Ovis aries: one gene and its partners. The protein of the gene in region 3 interacts with the protein of the main gene of each other region in a pairwise test. Links are inferred from orthologs where the notes say so. Each region holds a gene or a part of one and is shown on either strand. Other genes may lie near its edges. The genes, in order: DES, KCTD6, EHHADH and KCTD9.

The links.
Region 1: the proteins of EHHADH (region 3) and DES interact in binary tests that used the Homo sapiens proteins (3 or more experiments, as listed by UniProt). The two-hybrid records come from large-scale screens. The link is inferred for Ovis aries from reciprocal best matches to the Homo sapiens genes EHHADH and DES.
Region 2: the proteins of EHHADH (region 3) and KCTD6 interact in binary tests that used the Homo sapiens proteins (3 or more experiments, as listed by UniProt). The two-hybrid records come from large-scale screens. The link is inferred for Ovis aries from reciprocal best matches to the Homo sapiens genes EHHADH and KCTD6.
Region 4: the proteins of EHHADH (region 3) and KCTD9 interact in binary tests that used the Homo sapiens proteins (3 or more experiments, as listed by UniProt). The two-hybrid records come from large-scale screens. The link is inferred for Ovis aries from reciprocal best matches to the Homo sapiens genes EHHADH and KCTD9.

The regions. Positions count from the first base shown.
Region 1 is NC_056055.1:221,350,424-221,352,772, reverse strand, and holds the end of DES (desmin), read right to left. Parts: intron 1,620-2,349; coding exon 1,537-1,619; intron 1,350-1,536; coding exon 1,308-1,349; 3' UTR 540-1,307; downstream 1-539. UniProt on the Homo sapiens protein: Muscle-specific type III intermediate filament essential for proper muscular structure and function.
Region 2 is NC_056072.1:42,983,619-42,987,806, reverse strand, and holds the start of KCTD6 (BTB/POZ domain-containing protein KCTD6), read left to right. Parts: upstream 1-1,321; 5' UTR 1,322-1,506; exon of another isoform or gene 1,507-3,749; intron 3,750-4,188. UniProt on the Homo sapiens protein: Probable substrate-specific adapter of a BCR (BTB-CUL3-RBX1) E3 ubiquitin-protein ligase complex mediating the ubiquitination and subsequent proteasomal degradation of target proteins.
Region 3 is NC_056054.1:202,653,257-202,657,614, forward strand, and holds the start of EHHADH (peroxisomal bifunctional enzyme), read left to right. Parts: upstream 1-1,549; 5' UTR 1,550-1,572; coding exon 1,573-1,646; intron 1,647-4,358. UniProt on the Homo sapiens protein: Peroxisomal trifunctional enzyme possessing 2-enoyl-CoA hydratase, 3-hydroxyacyl-CoA dehydrogenase, and delta 3, delta 2-enoyl-CoA isomerase activities. Catalyzes two of the four reactions of the long chain fatty acids peroxisomal beta-oxidation pathway.
Region 4 is NC_056055.1:40,204,684-40,207,043, forward strand, and holds part of KCTD9 (BTB/POZ domain-containing protein KCTD9), read left to right. Parts: coding exon of another isoform or gene 1-10; exon of another isoform or gene 11-2,234; coding exon 2,235-2,351; 3' UTR 2,352-2,360. UniProt on the Homo sapiens protein: Substrate-specific adapter of a BCR (BTB-CUL3-RBX1) E3 ubiquitin-protein ligase complex, which mediates the ubiquitination of target proteins, leading to their degradation by the proteasome.

The DNA of each region.
Region 1 (2,349 bases), on a different chromosome or scaffold from region 3:
TCCAAGGATGAGATAGAGCTTTCTGTTTTTCTTAACAAGGTCATTTTTCCTGAATTGGCCTTGGAGCTTCGAAGATCCAGGTTTAGTGCAAAGAGGGTGTAAGCTACCTTAGGCAAGGACCACAGGAGCCCTACTTCAGAGCAGTGCGTGGGGGCAGTCCTGGTAATGGGGCATAACAAGAGGTATGTGTGAGTCCCCAGCAAAAGCCCCCTCCCCCATATGCTACACACATACAGCCAGGCTGCGAGGCTCTGGGAACAGAAGGGGTGGCAGGCCCTGGGGGACAGTCTGGCTGGGTAGGAAGGCAGCACACAGTTCACCTCAAGAAGCGATACAAGGAATTTCCTGGTGGTCTAGTGGTTAGGACTCCATGCTTCCCTTGCAAGGGCACAGGTTCAATCCCTGGTCAGGTAACTAAGATCTCGCATGTTGTGTTATGTGGCCCAAAAATATTAAAAAAAGAAAAAAAAAAAAAAAAGAGGTAGTGTGACAGGGCTCTCTCAGAGAAGACCTGGCAGTCAAAACAGCAGGGGCCGTGCTAGGCTTGTGCTTATCTTTTTTATTGTTTCTTTCTGTTCAGAGCCCCTGCAGCGGGGAAGGGGCAGGCACGGGGAGGTGAGCCCCCCTGCCACCTGCCTGAGACCGCTCTCTCCTCTCTCCTCTTCTCTCCAGCATCTCGCCCACCCTCTCTCTTTCTGCATCTCCTGCTCCCACATCTGGCACCTTCGGGGGTTCTCTCTTGCAGCCCCTGCCTTGTAAGCCCACCTCGGGAAAGTAAGGGACCATGGGGTCAGTCTCGAGCCCCCCAGTCTCCACGGGGGTGGGGGCTATGTCCCCAGTTATCTGCATGGCTTGCCGAGGATGCTGCCTTTCTGACTCAGGCCGGGGAGGGGGTAATGGGGAGGTCCACAGGGCTTGACCTGACCCTGAGGGGTTCCTACGTCCTGCTCTGGAGTCCCCTCCAAAGCCATATGCTAGAGCCTGAAGTCACGGAGGTGGGAAGGGTAAGGTCACTGCCATGTCTTGGCTCCAGCCTGGCCCTGCCCAGCACATTCCAAGGGCGGCCCAGGGCCAGGCCCCCTCACTTCAACATCCAGACCTCACACGACAGGGGCTCCCTGTGCCCGGGAGGGTTGGGCCAGGTCCCCTGTGGGGACCAGGACAGGTGGTCGCAGTGAGCAGGGGTCAGAGGCTGTGAGCGGAGCACTGTGGCTGGGGGTGGTGCCCTGGGATGGAGGGAGGCTGGCTTTAGGAGGCAGTGAGGACAGAGGTGAGCACGGTCTCTGGCGGCAGAGAGGTCTCTGGCTTTAGAGCACCTCATGCTGCTGCTGTGTGGCCTCACTGACGACCTAGAGAGGAAGAGAAACCCAGTCTAACCCAGGGCTGGCCGGAGAATGGAGTCATGACCCCGGGACACCTCCTCCCCAGCATGGCAGACCCTTCTGCCCCCAGGCAGAACCAGCACGGCTGGTAGAAGACACCTGGCTGACAGCCCCCCCCAACCTCAGGGGTAAGGGTTCCAGGCAGACCACTCACCTCCCCGTCCCGAGTCTCGATGGTCTTGATCATCACCGTCTTCTTGGTATGGACCTCAGAACCCCTCTGCTCAGGGCTTGTTTCTGTAACAGATTCATCCACACGCTCAGCCTGACCAAGGCCAGGCCTGGCTGTTCCTGTGGCTGGGAGTCCTTCCCTGGTCTCACTGGGCAAAGCCCAGAAGACACCCACCCCCTCAATATGGGCCTGTTACTTTTTCAGCAAAACATCTTCCTTGTGCCCAGCACCCAGTAGGTGGCTCTGCAGACCCAAGGGGCTGCCCAGGGCTGAGCTAAGACGAGCCAACAGGTGTGCTCCAGGTGTTGGCAGGTTCAAGAGGGTGAGGGATCACCTAGGCCCCAGGCCACCCAGCATTCCCGCCCCCTCACCGACACCCCTCCTCACTCCCCCTCCACCCCTGGTCCCCAGAAGATCCCTGCAGGAATTTGAACCCTGACAGTGAGGACCCTAGAGCCCAGAACCAAGGCACTCTTTTGAAGGATCTCATGGTACCCAGCCCCTTTTGACTCCGGATGAACAACTTGATGTCTTAATGAAAGAGAGATGGACAGGAATCAGTCACTGATTTATTGTGCAGATGGCCAGTCACTTGTCCCTCCATGCCTCAGTTTCCCCACTGTGAAATGAACGGTAACAGCAGTACTTGCCCTGTCATGGCCCAGAACTACTGACTTGAAAAACCATTAAGTGATTTTAAATGCAAGGCTCACACTTGGTATCTGCATAAACTGCTAACCGAAGAGAGCCATTCTGAGTTTTATTGGAAGGGTCAAATTTAGGTCCTTGGTGTTA
Region 2 (4,188 bases), on a different chromosome or scaffold from region 3:
TGCTTCATCCAGCCCAGCATTTCTCATGTACTCTGGAGCTGCTGCTAGGTCGCTCCAGTTGTGTCCGACTCTGTGCGACCCCACAGATGGCAGCCCACCAGGCTCTTCTGTCCCTGGGATTCTCCAGGCAAGAATACTGGAGTGGGTTGTCATTTCCTTCTCTGGGATGATGTACTCTGCATATAAGTTAAATAAGCAGGGTTGACAATATACAGCCTTGCTGTACTCCTTTTCCTATTTGGAACCAGTTTGTTCCATGTCCAGTTCTAACTGTTGCTTCCTGACCTGCATACAGATTTCTCAAGAGGCAGGTCAGGTGGTCTGGTATTCCCATCTCTTTCAGAATGTTCCACAGTTTATTGTGATCCACACAGTCAAACAAAGACTTTGGCATAGTCAATAAAGCAGAAATAGACGTTTCTCTGAACTCTTTTGCTTATTGTGAAGGAGAAATGGCAAAATCCCTGTACCTGATCCCACCTGGAAAGGGATGGGGATTTGGTTAGCCAGAAGTGAGTTCTGTTTGGAAGGAATCTATGTTTGGAAACCAATTAGCTCAGACTTTAGGTAATTCCCACTCTTGCAGCCTTGGCTTCCTTCGTGGTGAAATGAGGACAGTATTGGTGCCAGCTTCCTCTAGGGCTGGCTCCTTCAGTCCTCAGAGCCTTTGCACTGGTCGTTTTCTCTGCTGCCCTTCTCTCCATCTGGCTGTCTTTCCCTACTCCGCCCACAGACTGGAGAGGTGACCGTATCAATCCCACAGAGGGTAAGGCCAGGAGTCCTGGGACCACAGTTCCAGAGTCCAGATCTTGTATAGTCACCGTATCTGCAGCAGAGGCCCCCTCCGCTTATTCTCCATCGAATTCATGTACCTCCCAACATTTTATAATCATAACTTTTTTTTGTAGTCATTTTTTTGTCGGCTGTTTACTTGGGTCTTTAATGTTTCTCCTTTCATTAGGAAGCCCCTCCTTCTTGGTGACCGCTTTACTCGTCAGGCCTGGCACTTGGTTGGGATCCCTTAAGTATTCGTAAAATGACCGGAGAAACTAGGTTTGAGCCCTAGCGAAAAGTGCCGGGGGCTGGGCAGATCCCCCAGTGCGGGCGGAGGCGGGATGTCGGGCGAATTCTGGGCGGAGCGCGTGGGTCTGGGGCCCGAGCCTCGGGGGCGGGATCGGGCGTCGGGGCGGGGCTTCAGGGCTGCCGCGGAGCCAGCCTGAAGGAGCCGCCCAGGCTACGCCTGGTTTGAGTTTCTCCGGCCGCTCGGCCCTTCGGTCACTAGCCCGCGACGCCGTTAGGGGGCGCCCGCGCCTGTGGCGCCGTGTCTCCGCTGGAAAGGCGCCGCCCGCTCCGGGCGGCAGGAGCCGCAACTCCGGGCGCGGGCTCAGTCGTCCCTTCTGCCGCCGCCGCCGCCGCCGCCACCGGGCGCGGGCTCGCTCGTCCTCGCGCTCGCGCTCTCCGGCCGCCGGCGTCTCCCGGCCCGGCAGCCACCGCCGCCGCAGCGCAGTGAGTAGGGGCGGGCCCACGACGCGGAGGCCCGGGGCTCGGGAGGGCTGGGCTCTAGCAGAAGACCGCGCGGAGCGGCCCGGCAGCGGGGTTGAGGGGAACCCGGGCGGTGGCGGGGCCGCGCTCAGGGGACCTCGGGGAGTCCAGGCGGCGCGCTCCGGGGCTGGCACGAACCCGCCGCGGGCTGCCCGCGACCAGAGGCCGGCCTTGGGCGGAGGATCCGGGGCCTGCCCCGCTGGGACTTGCGGGTTCGGCGGACCCGGGTTTAGGGCTCGGGTGCGCGCCCCATGCCCGGGCCCCAAGTGTCTCCCGTCCCACGCCCGGGGCCCGGGTCGGGGTGGGGGACTCTGCCCGTGGGCAGCAGTGAAGCCGGGACGGGAGCACCTCAAGGTTTGCTGGAAGATGATTGATTGTGGGTGGTGCTTATTGGCTACAGTTTTCCTTATTTTAAAGCCCCCGGCAGGACTTCTGAACCCTGCCTTAGGGGATTTTTCTGCCCCAAAGAGGGATTGACCGCAGCTGAGTTCTTAATGCCCAGATTTGTGTGTGCCCAGGGCATTCTTAATGCTGGACGTCAGAGGTGATAAATGGCCGTGGTGGTGAGGAGCCCCTGAAGCACCTGCCGGGCTGGGCTGTCAGTGGTGGAGGCTGTCTGAGGGGTGGGACTCCAGAAACGAAGCAGAGATCCTTTTTGGATATTGTGCTGAAGTTATCATGTTTCTGCAACTATACCAGTTCTGGAACAAGTTGGCTACTTCCAATTTTAGGGCTTTGTGATAGAAGAGGTTTGAGTGCCCCGAGACCTGAGGTAACTTGGTTTGGCCAAGAGCGTTTGGGGTAGCCTAAGCGTGTCTTACCGTTTCCCCTTGGTATGTGCATTTTCTTTGCTCTCACAAACGCCTGAGTATATGAACGATTCCAAGAGAGGAAAGAAGCGAGGGGACAGCGTTTAGCACAGGACTGAGCCCAGGACTGAGATGTTTTCGAACAAACAGATGTGTAGCTAGGAAAAGGAAAATCTCTTTTTTAACCTGCATGGTTGGTAGGTTGAGACAACTTGCTCTTTGATCAGACCATACTAGTACTTCATTTTGCATAACATCATAAATATTAAGAATTGAGTGGTGAGGACCACCATAGATGCTGTTTCTAAGGTTCATGTCATTTAAATTTTAATTTGTCACAGTTTAAAGCATTACTACATGAAGAAATTTTAGAGTGAATCTGTGAATCACTGAACGTGTCTTGGATTGTGATATTTGGAGTCTATTGAAAATGGAATCCAAATACTCATTTGGATTTGGCTTTACCTTGGACATAATCCCGAGTCATGCTTTAGAGTTCCTTCCTTCTGTGATGAAGAGGTCAGACGTCTGGTGGTCTCTGTGAAAGCCAGATGCTCCACCTTACCTGTGGTTCTCCCTTGTGGGGCTCCAGGAAAAGGAGGACGGGATGAGGGAGACTGGAAGCACATTAAGTGCCCTCCTCTTCCATACTTGCCCGGTCTCCATGCCCACGCTCTGAATTACTTGTGTCCACACTCCGGTTTCTCAGTTCGCCACAGAAATTGTAAGGATGCTACTGCCAGTAGTGTTTCACATTTGCCAGTTTACCCATAAATTTTCGATTCATGATCTCACTTATTTTTTCTCCAAGAAGCAGGTGGGCAATACAGAGTGATTTACTCTGGGTCTTATAATTAGTCATGAAGCCAAGCTGGCTTAAGGATCCTCACCTGTGGCCTTTTCTCTCTCCTGCTCTGACCTGTCTATGACCTCAAACCCCAGGCCCCCATCTGTCACCCTGTAGGCCAGGTGTTGCCTCTGTGTTGTGCTTAAGTGGTACTGTTCCTTTTGGGAATGTGGTATTATTCTGTTTTATCTTACAGAAATTAAGGTAAGAGGGATGGTATGGTTTTGTGACTATTTGTGGTAGCTCTTCAGTAGGAAAAGTCACTTTTCAACCTAGAGCGCCTTTTTTGTAGACCACATGGAGAGGGCAGAGAGAAAAAAGGATTAGGTTTTGGATGAAACGGTCTGTTTGTGTATTGGTTATGGTCAAGCGTAACCTAACACCATAATCACATTCTCCTTCTGTGCCTGGCTACTTAAACCAGCCTGTATGTGAATGTTAACCCCAAAGACTCCTTTAGTTGATGAACTAGTTACTATAAAAAGTATTTCACTTTGAAAAGCTCCCACATTTCAAGAACAGAGAAATTCAGCACAAAGGTGATTTTGAAGGTATGTATAGATGGAATTTGTTGAGTTGTCTCTTCTGAATGCCAGCTACAAAGATTTCAGTAGAAAGGCGTTTTAAAAGGGCTACCTGGAAACTTAGGGAAGGAAATAGTTATGTGTTTATTATTTATTCAAGTTTGGAGGTGTGTATTGCAGTGTATAAGTTATTATATAGGATAGGAGCAGGAGTTTTATTCCAGAGAATTCTTAGTCTGTAGCAGAAATGATAAGCCCAGAATATGTGTGTTTCATTAGTTCATCATAACCACAAAGCCTGTAATTGAGTTCTGCTGTGGTGAGGAAAATGAGTTTCAGGGGTTCTTACGTTATTCTTTAAGTCATTCACTTATTGAATTGTGTGTTTTTCACATTTGCTAATGTAGAAAATTGTTACCAGTTTTTTTTTAAGGCTTTCCTAAATTCTTGAGTTTGTGTTTTCCTT
Region 3 (4,358 bases):
GATGGTGACTGCAGCCATGAAATTAAAAGATGCTTGCTCCTTGAAAGAAAAGCTGTGACCAACCTAGACAGCAAAGGTCCATCTGGTCAAAGCTATGGTTTTTCCAGTAGTCATGTATGGAGGTGAGAGTTGGACTATAAAGAAGGCTGAGTACCGAAGAATTGATGTTTTTGAACTGTGGTGTTGGAGAAGACTCTTGAGAGTCCCTTAGACTGCAAGGAGATCACACCAGTCAATCCTAAATGAAATCAGTCCTGAACATTCATTGGAAAGACTGATGCTGAAGCTGAAACTCCAATACTTTGACCACCTGATGTGAAGAACTGACTCCTTGGAAAAGACCCTGATGCTGGGAAAGATTGAAGGCAGGAAGAGAAGGGGACAACAGAGAATGAGATGGTTGGATGGCATCACTGACTCAATGGACATGAATTTGAGCAAGCTCAAGGAGTTGGTGATGAACAGGGAGTCCTGGCATGCTGCAGTCCATGGGGCTGCAAGGAGTCGGACATGACTGAGCAACTGAACTGAAAAGAATGTCTGTGAAAATAATCCTTCAGTTCAGTTCAGTTCAGTCGTTCAGTCGTGTCCGACTCTTTGTGACCCCATGAATCACAGCACGCCAGGCCTCCCTGTCCATCACCCGGAGTTCACTCAGATTCACGTCCATCGAGACAGTGATGCCATCCAGCCTCGTTGCTGAAATTTGTGAAACGTCAGTGAATAAAACCACTCCATTGTTTTGTTTTTCCTCTGAAACTTCCAGACTGCCTTCTGGCCAGTTGATGGGCTGTGGAGACCACCTGAGGCCAACTGCATCTTCAAAAACTTTGTCCCATTCTGAACCCAGCCTCATTTATCTTTAGTCTTTGGCCTGCTGCCTAGGACATAATAGTTGCTCGATTCATAGTTGAAGTATTAATCTTAGAAATAATCCTTAGGAATGCCAGAAGAAGGAAAAAAAAAAAACTGGAAGGATTGAACAGACAAGAAAGTGGTATGTTCCACAAGGTTGCTGCATGACAGTTCTGTACATGTTTGGTTGATATTAGTACCTTACTCATTTAGATGAAATGCATGAAGTGTTTTATATGTTCCAGGTATGTGTCATATCATATAATTGTCAGGATCCCACATATCTGTCTTTGTTAAGAAGGATAATGAAGACTGTGATGAAGCTGCACCAACTTAGTGCATCTAGAACTTGTCCAGGGAAGCCAGCCCCTCTGGGCCAGGGGTTTGCAAATCTGGACTTACTGGCAATTTCACGCATCTTCCAACTTCCTGCCTGACCTACTTTGTGATGGGAGCAGGACAGGGGCCAGCAAAGAGGAAGAGACGGCAAGGGTGTGCTGAGCACGGGGCTGCGGTCAGGGAAGGAGGAGGACTGAGATGGAGGATGGGCATCAGAGCCCGGGAGCGTCCCGGGGCGGGAAGCGGTGCTGGGGCCGGAGGCGGTGCCGGGTTCACATTGGCCCAGCAGACGCCCCTCCTCTCCCCAGGACGCGCCCAGCGAAAGTGATCTTGCCTCTCAGCTGAGGGGTGAGGCGACTTTGGGGCAACTGAGCAAACATGGCTGAGTTCACGCGGCTGCAGAACAGCCTGGCACTGATCCGTCTACGAAACCCGCCAGTCAATGCGATCAGGTAACGGGCTCTCGGCGATCAGTCTGGGGAGGGCGAGCAGGGGCGTACCTGCCTGCCTCAAGTGGAGGCTTTGACTTCCCCCTGCTGGTTTAAACGGAGAAAGACACTGACACGGATAGAATCAGGGCAAATGCCAGGACCTTTTACGTTGTGGTTTCCCAGACGATAAAGCGTCTGCCTGCAATGCGGGAGACTCGGGTTCGATTCCTGGGTCGGGAAGATCCCCTGGAGAAGGAAATGGCAATCCACTCCAGCACTCTTGCCTGGAAAATCCCATGGACGGAGGAGCCTGATAGGCTACAGTCCATGGGGTCGCAAAGAGTCGGACACGACTGAGCGACTTCACTTTCACTTTACATTGGTAGCCTCGGTACCTGTTTGCAGAGACCTCTCATCTCCGTTTCGCTGATAAAGAAACCGAGGCTGAGAGGAAGACAGCTAGAAATTGGGGAGCTGCGCCCGAACCGGTCTGTCCGTGCCAACTTCGTGCTGAACTCCTGTTTACTTGCAACTTTGACTTCTCAGATGTACTTTCTAGTCCAGAGGTCTTTGTGCCTCTGTCCGTGCCAACTTCGTGCTGCACTCTTCTGCTTACTTGCAACTTTGACTTCTCAGATGTACTTTCTAGTCCAGAGGTCTTAGTGCCTCTGTCCGTGCCAACTTCGTGCTGCACTCTTCTGCTTACTTGCAACTTTGACTTCTCAGATGTACTTTCTAGTCCAGAGGTCTTAGTGCTGTGCTGCCTGGACCTTGATCCCTCCCTTCCCAACCTGGAGTCCAGGCCACCCTTACAATGTGTGACTAAAAGCTTTGGGAGTCCAAAAATAAGGTGGCTTCACACTGTTAAAAATAAAGATCCCCATTAATGCCAATATATTGAGTAAAAGAGAATTATGTCCTGGCCCAGAAACACAAAGATGTATCTCTTGGTTTGTTCTAAACTTCAAGGTCTTAGTGCTTTGGTGAAGATCCATGTTAGAATAAGCTCATGTCAGAATTAGCCTATTAAATAGCATTTCCTGAAAAACTGCTGTGCCGTTTATGTTCTTTTATCGTGGAGTACTTTTCTTGTTAAACTAGTAAAAGCATTACTTTAAAAAGTGAGATTAATGCTGCTATTTTGAAAATTAATGATATATAGGTTTGTGCTAAGTCACTTTAGCCGTGTATGAGTCTGTGTGCCCCTATGGACTGTGTGCCCCTAGGCTCCTCTGTCCATGGGATCCTCCAGGCAAGAATACTGGAGTGAGTTGTCATGCCCTCCTCCAGGGGATCTTTACCACCCAGGGATTGAACTCTTATGCCTCTTGCATTGGCAGGGAGGTTTTCACCACTAGCACCACCTGGTTCTTTTATATCTCTGAAAAAAGTATAGTGATCAACCTGGGGAAAAAACCACTCGTCCACAGGGAGTAGGGAAATGATCATTTACAGAGAACATATAAAGCATAAAGAGAACGACTTTTGGTCAGAATCCTTACTGCATGCTGCTGGAGCAAAAAGAGACTGAAATGAGAAGACATGCTAATTTTAACTGAATTTTTGTCCTGTCAGCAGATTTGGTTTTATCATTAGCATTAATATTATAACTTTTATTTTAATATAAAATTTTGCATTTAATAATATAAAAATTTTCAGAAATAAAATCACACAAAGAATAAGTCCACTTACTTGCCACTCGGAATAAAGCAAAATATTGTTATTTCGGTTTTGATGAAGAAAAACAGGAGTACTACAATTACATATCAATTTTGAACTTTGTATTTCAATTAAAATTACTAAGTATTAGGACTCTGCCTTAATCTCTCATAATGGATAACTGTGCCCATCTCTAACTTTGGGGAAAATGGTTCTACAGTTTAGTACCTATAACTAGGAATATTTTCCCATAACTACTTAAAATGTGTCTGGTATTTAACCTGTTCCCTTTCCCCGTTGCAGAAGAAATTTTAGTACCTACCTCATTAAGTTGTGAGGTTTAAATGTGTTGCCGATTAGAAACTGACACTTAGATGTTGTGTGTGTGTGCGCGCTTAGTTGTGTCTGACTTTTTGACCCCAGGCACTGCAGACTACCAGGCTCTTCTGTCCATGGGATTTTCCAGGCAAGAATACTGGAGTGGGTTGCCATTTCCTACTCCAGGGGATCTTTCCAACTCAGCCGCGTCTTTTGCATCTCTTTCATTGGCAGGCGAATTCTTTACCACTGCACCACCAGCTATCATTATTTTTATTAGGCAAAAGGCCTGTTACAAGCCCCTACCAACAGGCCCTGCTGCTCAGGATTCATTGCAGCTGCATCAGGATTTTCTCCATTTGGCGATAAACACTTTTTTGCGCTTTCCTCTTAAACTTGTACTTAGGTGAAGGTATGTGTCCTAGCACGCTCATCCAGTTTAACAGGTCCCCCCCCCCTTTTTTTCTCTCTTTTTGCTTTACGCTTTTCATCTCCCCTTCCTTTCCTCCTTCCTATTTCTAATTTTATTTGGGTAACTATTTCTTCTTAGATAAGTGAGAGATTATTTGAATATATTTTGGCCCAAACAGTTCAAATCTTTCTTTGTTCCTTTAGCTAAGCGAGATTTCTATTTGGATAAATGCCAACCCTCTTTATAAATGTAGGAGATGCCTAATTACTAGATTTGTCTCCCAAAACAATGGCTTTTATATAATTTTTAATTATATTCTACACAGTAATCCATGTTTTACATAG
Region 4 (2,360 bases), on a different chromosome or scaffold from region 3:
TCTGAGCTGATTTCTCCTCTTTTCCTTGGATCTCCCTCAGGTAGATAACATTTGATATATGCTTTTTTAATCCACTTGATTGTGCTTTTCTTAAATTTGAATTCCAAACAATTAAATGGGGTCAGATTATTTCTTAAACTTGTTGAGAAATTGAAATGTTTGAAATCAGGTTCAGGGAAAGCCTGTTCTAAATTGGCATCATATTCTTTTTTGAATCTCAGCCTGAGACTTTGATTCTGTGCAGCCAGTCATCTTTTTCATCAGAATTGTCTGGTATATATCATCTTGAGTTGCAGATTGAGCTGGCAGACCGCACAGCTGTTAATGGGGGTGTATCACTGACAGCTCTTTCGGCAACAATGGGCATGTCCTGTGGCTGTGCTATTCAGTCCAGCACCTACCAGCCACATCTGGCTGTTGAGCCAGAGCAACCGAGGGATGGATTTGTAAATTGTGTTTAATTAAAATTCATTTAAATGTAAACTGCTATATGTGACTAAGAGTATTGTATTGAACAATACAGACCTATACAAGAAAATCTGGCATAGATTGGATTCTAGAGAATAGTATGTTAACATTTAGCTTGTTGATTTTTTAAAAATGTTTTCATCTTGCTCTTTTTTTGTTATACTAAGAGTACTGTTTCTGTGTTTTTGTCTATCCTTCTTTCACTCTATACTTCCTTCCTATGCAGTCTTATTCAGTCCTAAGGTCTAAAATACGATCCTTAATTAGGTGATCCTATATCATAGCCAACATCTAGATCTTTCATCTGAATTCACCTTGTTCTCTTGATAGCTCTTAGCAGCATAGTAGCAGGCCCCGTTGAACCTGAAGGCAAAAAGAACCAGCTTGACTGAAGGTATAAACCTATTATAAGTACAGTTATTTAACTTTTAAAATATTGTTACTGTCACCTAAGATGAGGATCTTTTTCCTTTGTTTCAGTTAGCATGTGACTACACATGAGTTCTTTATTTAAACAGTAGAAAGCCTCCCTTTATCTGATTGCAAAGACTAATCAGGATGACTATTGGGGCAGCTGCTAACCCTCTATCCTATAAAGGTTATGTGCAGTCACCCTTTTCTCTAACCATCATCCCCAGGGACTTAGCCAGAATCCCTGTCCCATCTGTCACTCTGTGATCTCAAGGGAAATTTGAAAGCAGCTACCAGTCGTGGTGGTTACACTGCTGTATATAGATCTGTTAAAACTCACTGAATTGTATACATAATTGGGGGGTTAAAAGCAATTCCTTACTCTAAGAATGTTAATGTTAGGCAGTTACATGATACAATTTAATTATTAAGTAAAATCCCTTTCTCTGTTTAAAAATCTGAGTCTTCCTCACCCCCATGCCTTTCATTATTGTTCATGGATTGTGGTAAAACCATTAAGTCACTCAGTCGTGTCTGACTCTCTTGCGATGCCATGGACTGTAGCCCACCAGGCTCCTCTGTCCATCAGATTCTCCAGGCAAGAATACTGGAGTGAGTTGCCATGCCCTCCTCCAGGGGATCTTCCCAGACCCAGGGATCCAACTCACATCTCCTGCATTTGCAGGCAGGTTCTTGACCACTAGCGCCACCTGGGAAGCCCCAAAGAGATGTTTAACTAAATCACTTGGCTGTATACCTGAAACTAACACAACATGGTATGTCAGCTATGTGTGTTTTAGTCACTAAGTCATCTGACTTTTGTGACCCCATGGACTGTAAGTCTGCCAGGCTGATCTGTCCATGGGATTTTCCAGGCAAGAATACTGGAGTGGGTTGCCATTTCCTTCTCCAAAATCAACTAGACTCCAATATAAATTTTTAGAAAAAGAATAAAGATTATCTCAGGTCCCAGAAATCAGTTTCTGATGCTCAGACCCTATGAGTTTGTCAGTGGAGCTGCTTCCATTCAAGCCCCATATTCCCAGGGAAGCCCATAAAATTGTTTATATACATTCTGGATTTTAAATGCTTAAAATTCAAAAGGGACATGCTTCATCATTGACCTTTGTTTATATATAATTTGTGGTGGTCACCCTGAGTAAGCATCAACTAGAGAGAAAAAATACAGATAGAAGAAAATATGGCTTTCTCCTAAAACTTATGAAAGTTTTCCAGAAATAACTGAGTTTTATTCTATAGGAACCTTTTCCTGATATGCCCCAGGAACCATTTTAAGAAGGAACAAATAAGCCCTTTAATCTGTTAGTTCCATGAATTCTGTTTGTGTCCTGCAGAATTGTGACCTGTCTGGGTGTGACCTTCAAGAAGCCAACCTGAGGGGTTCCAACGTGAAGGGCGCCATCTTTGAAGAGATGCTGACGCCACTACACATGTCACAGAGCGTCAGATGAGAGGCCTGG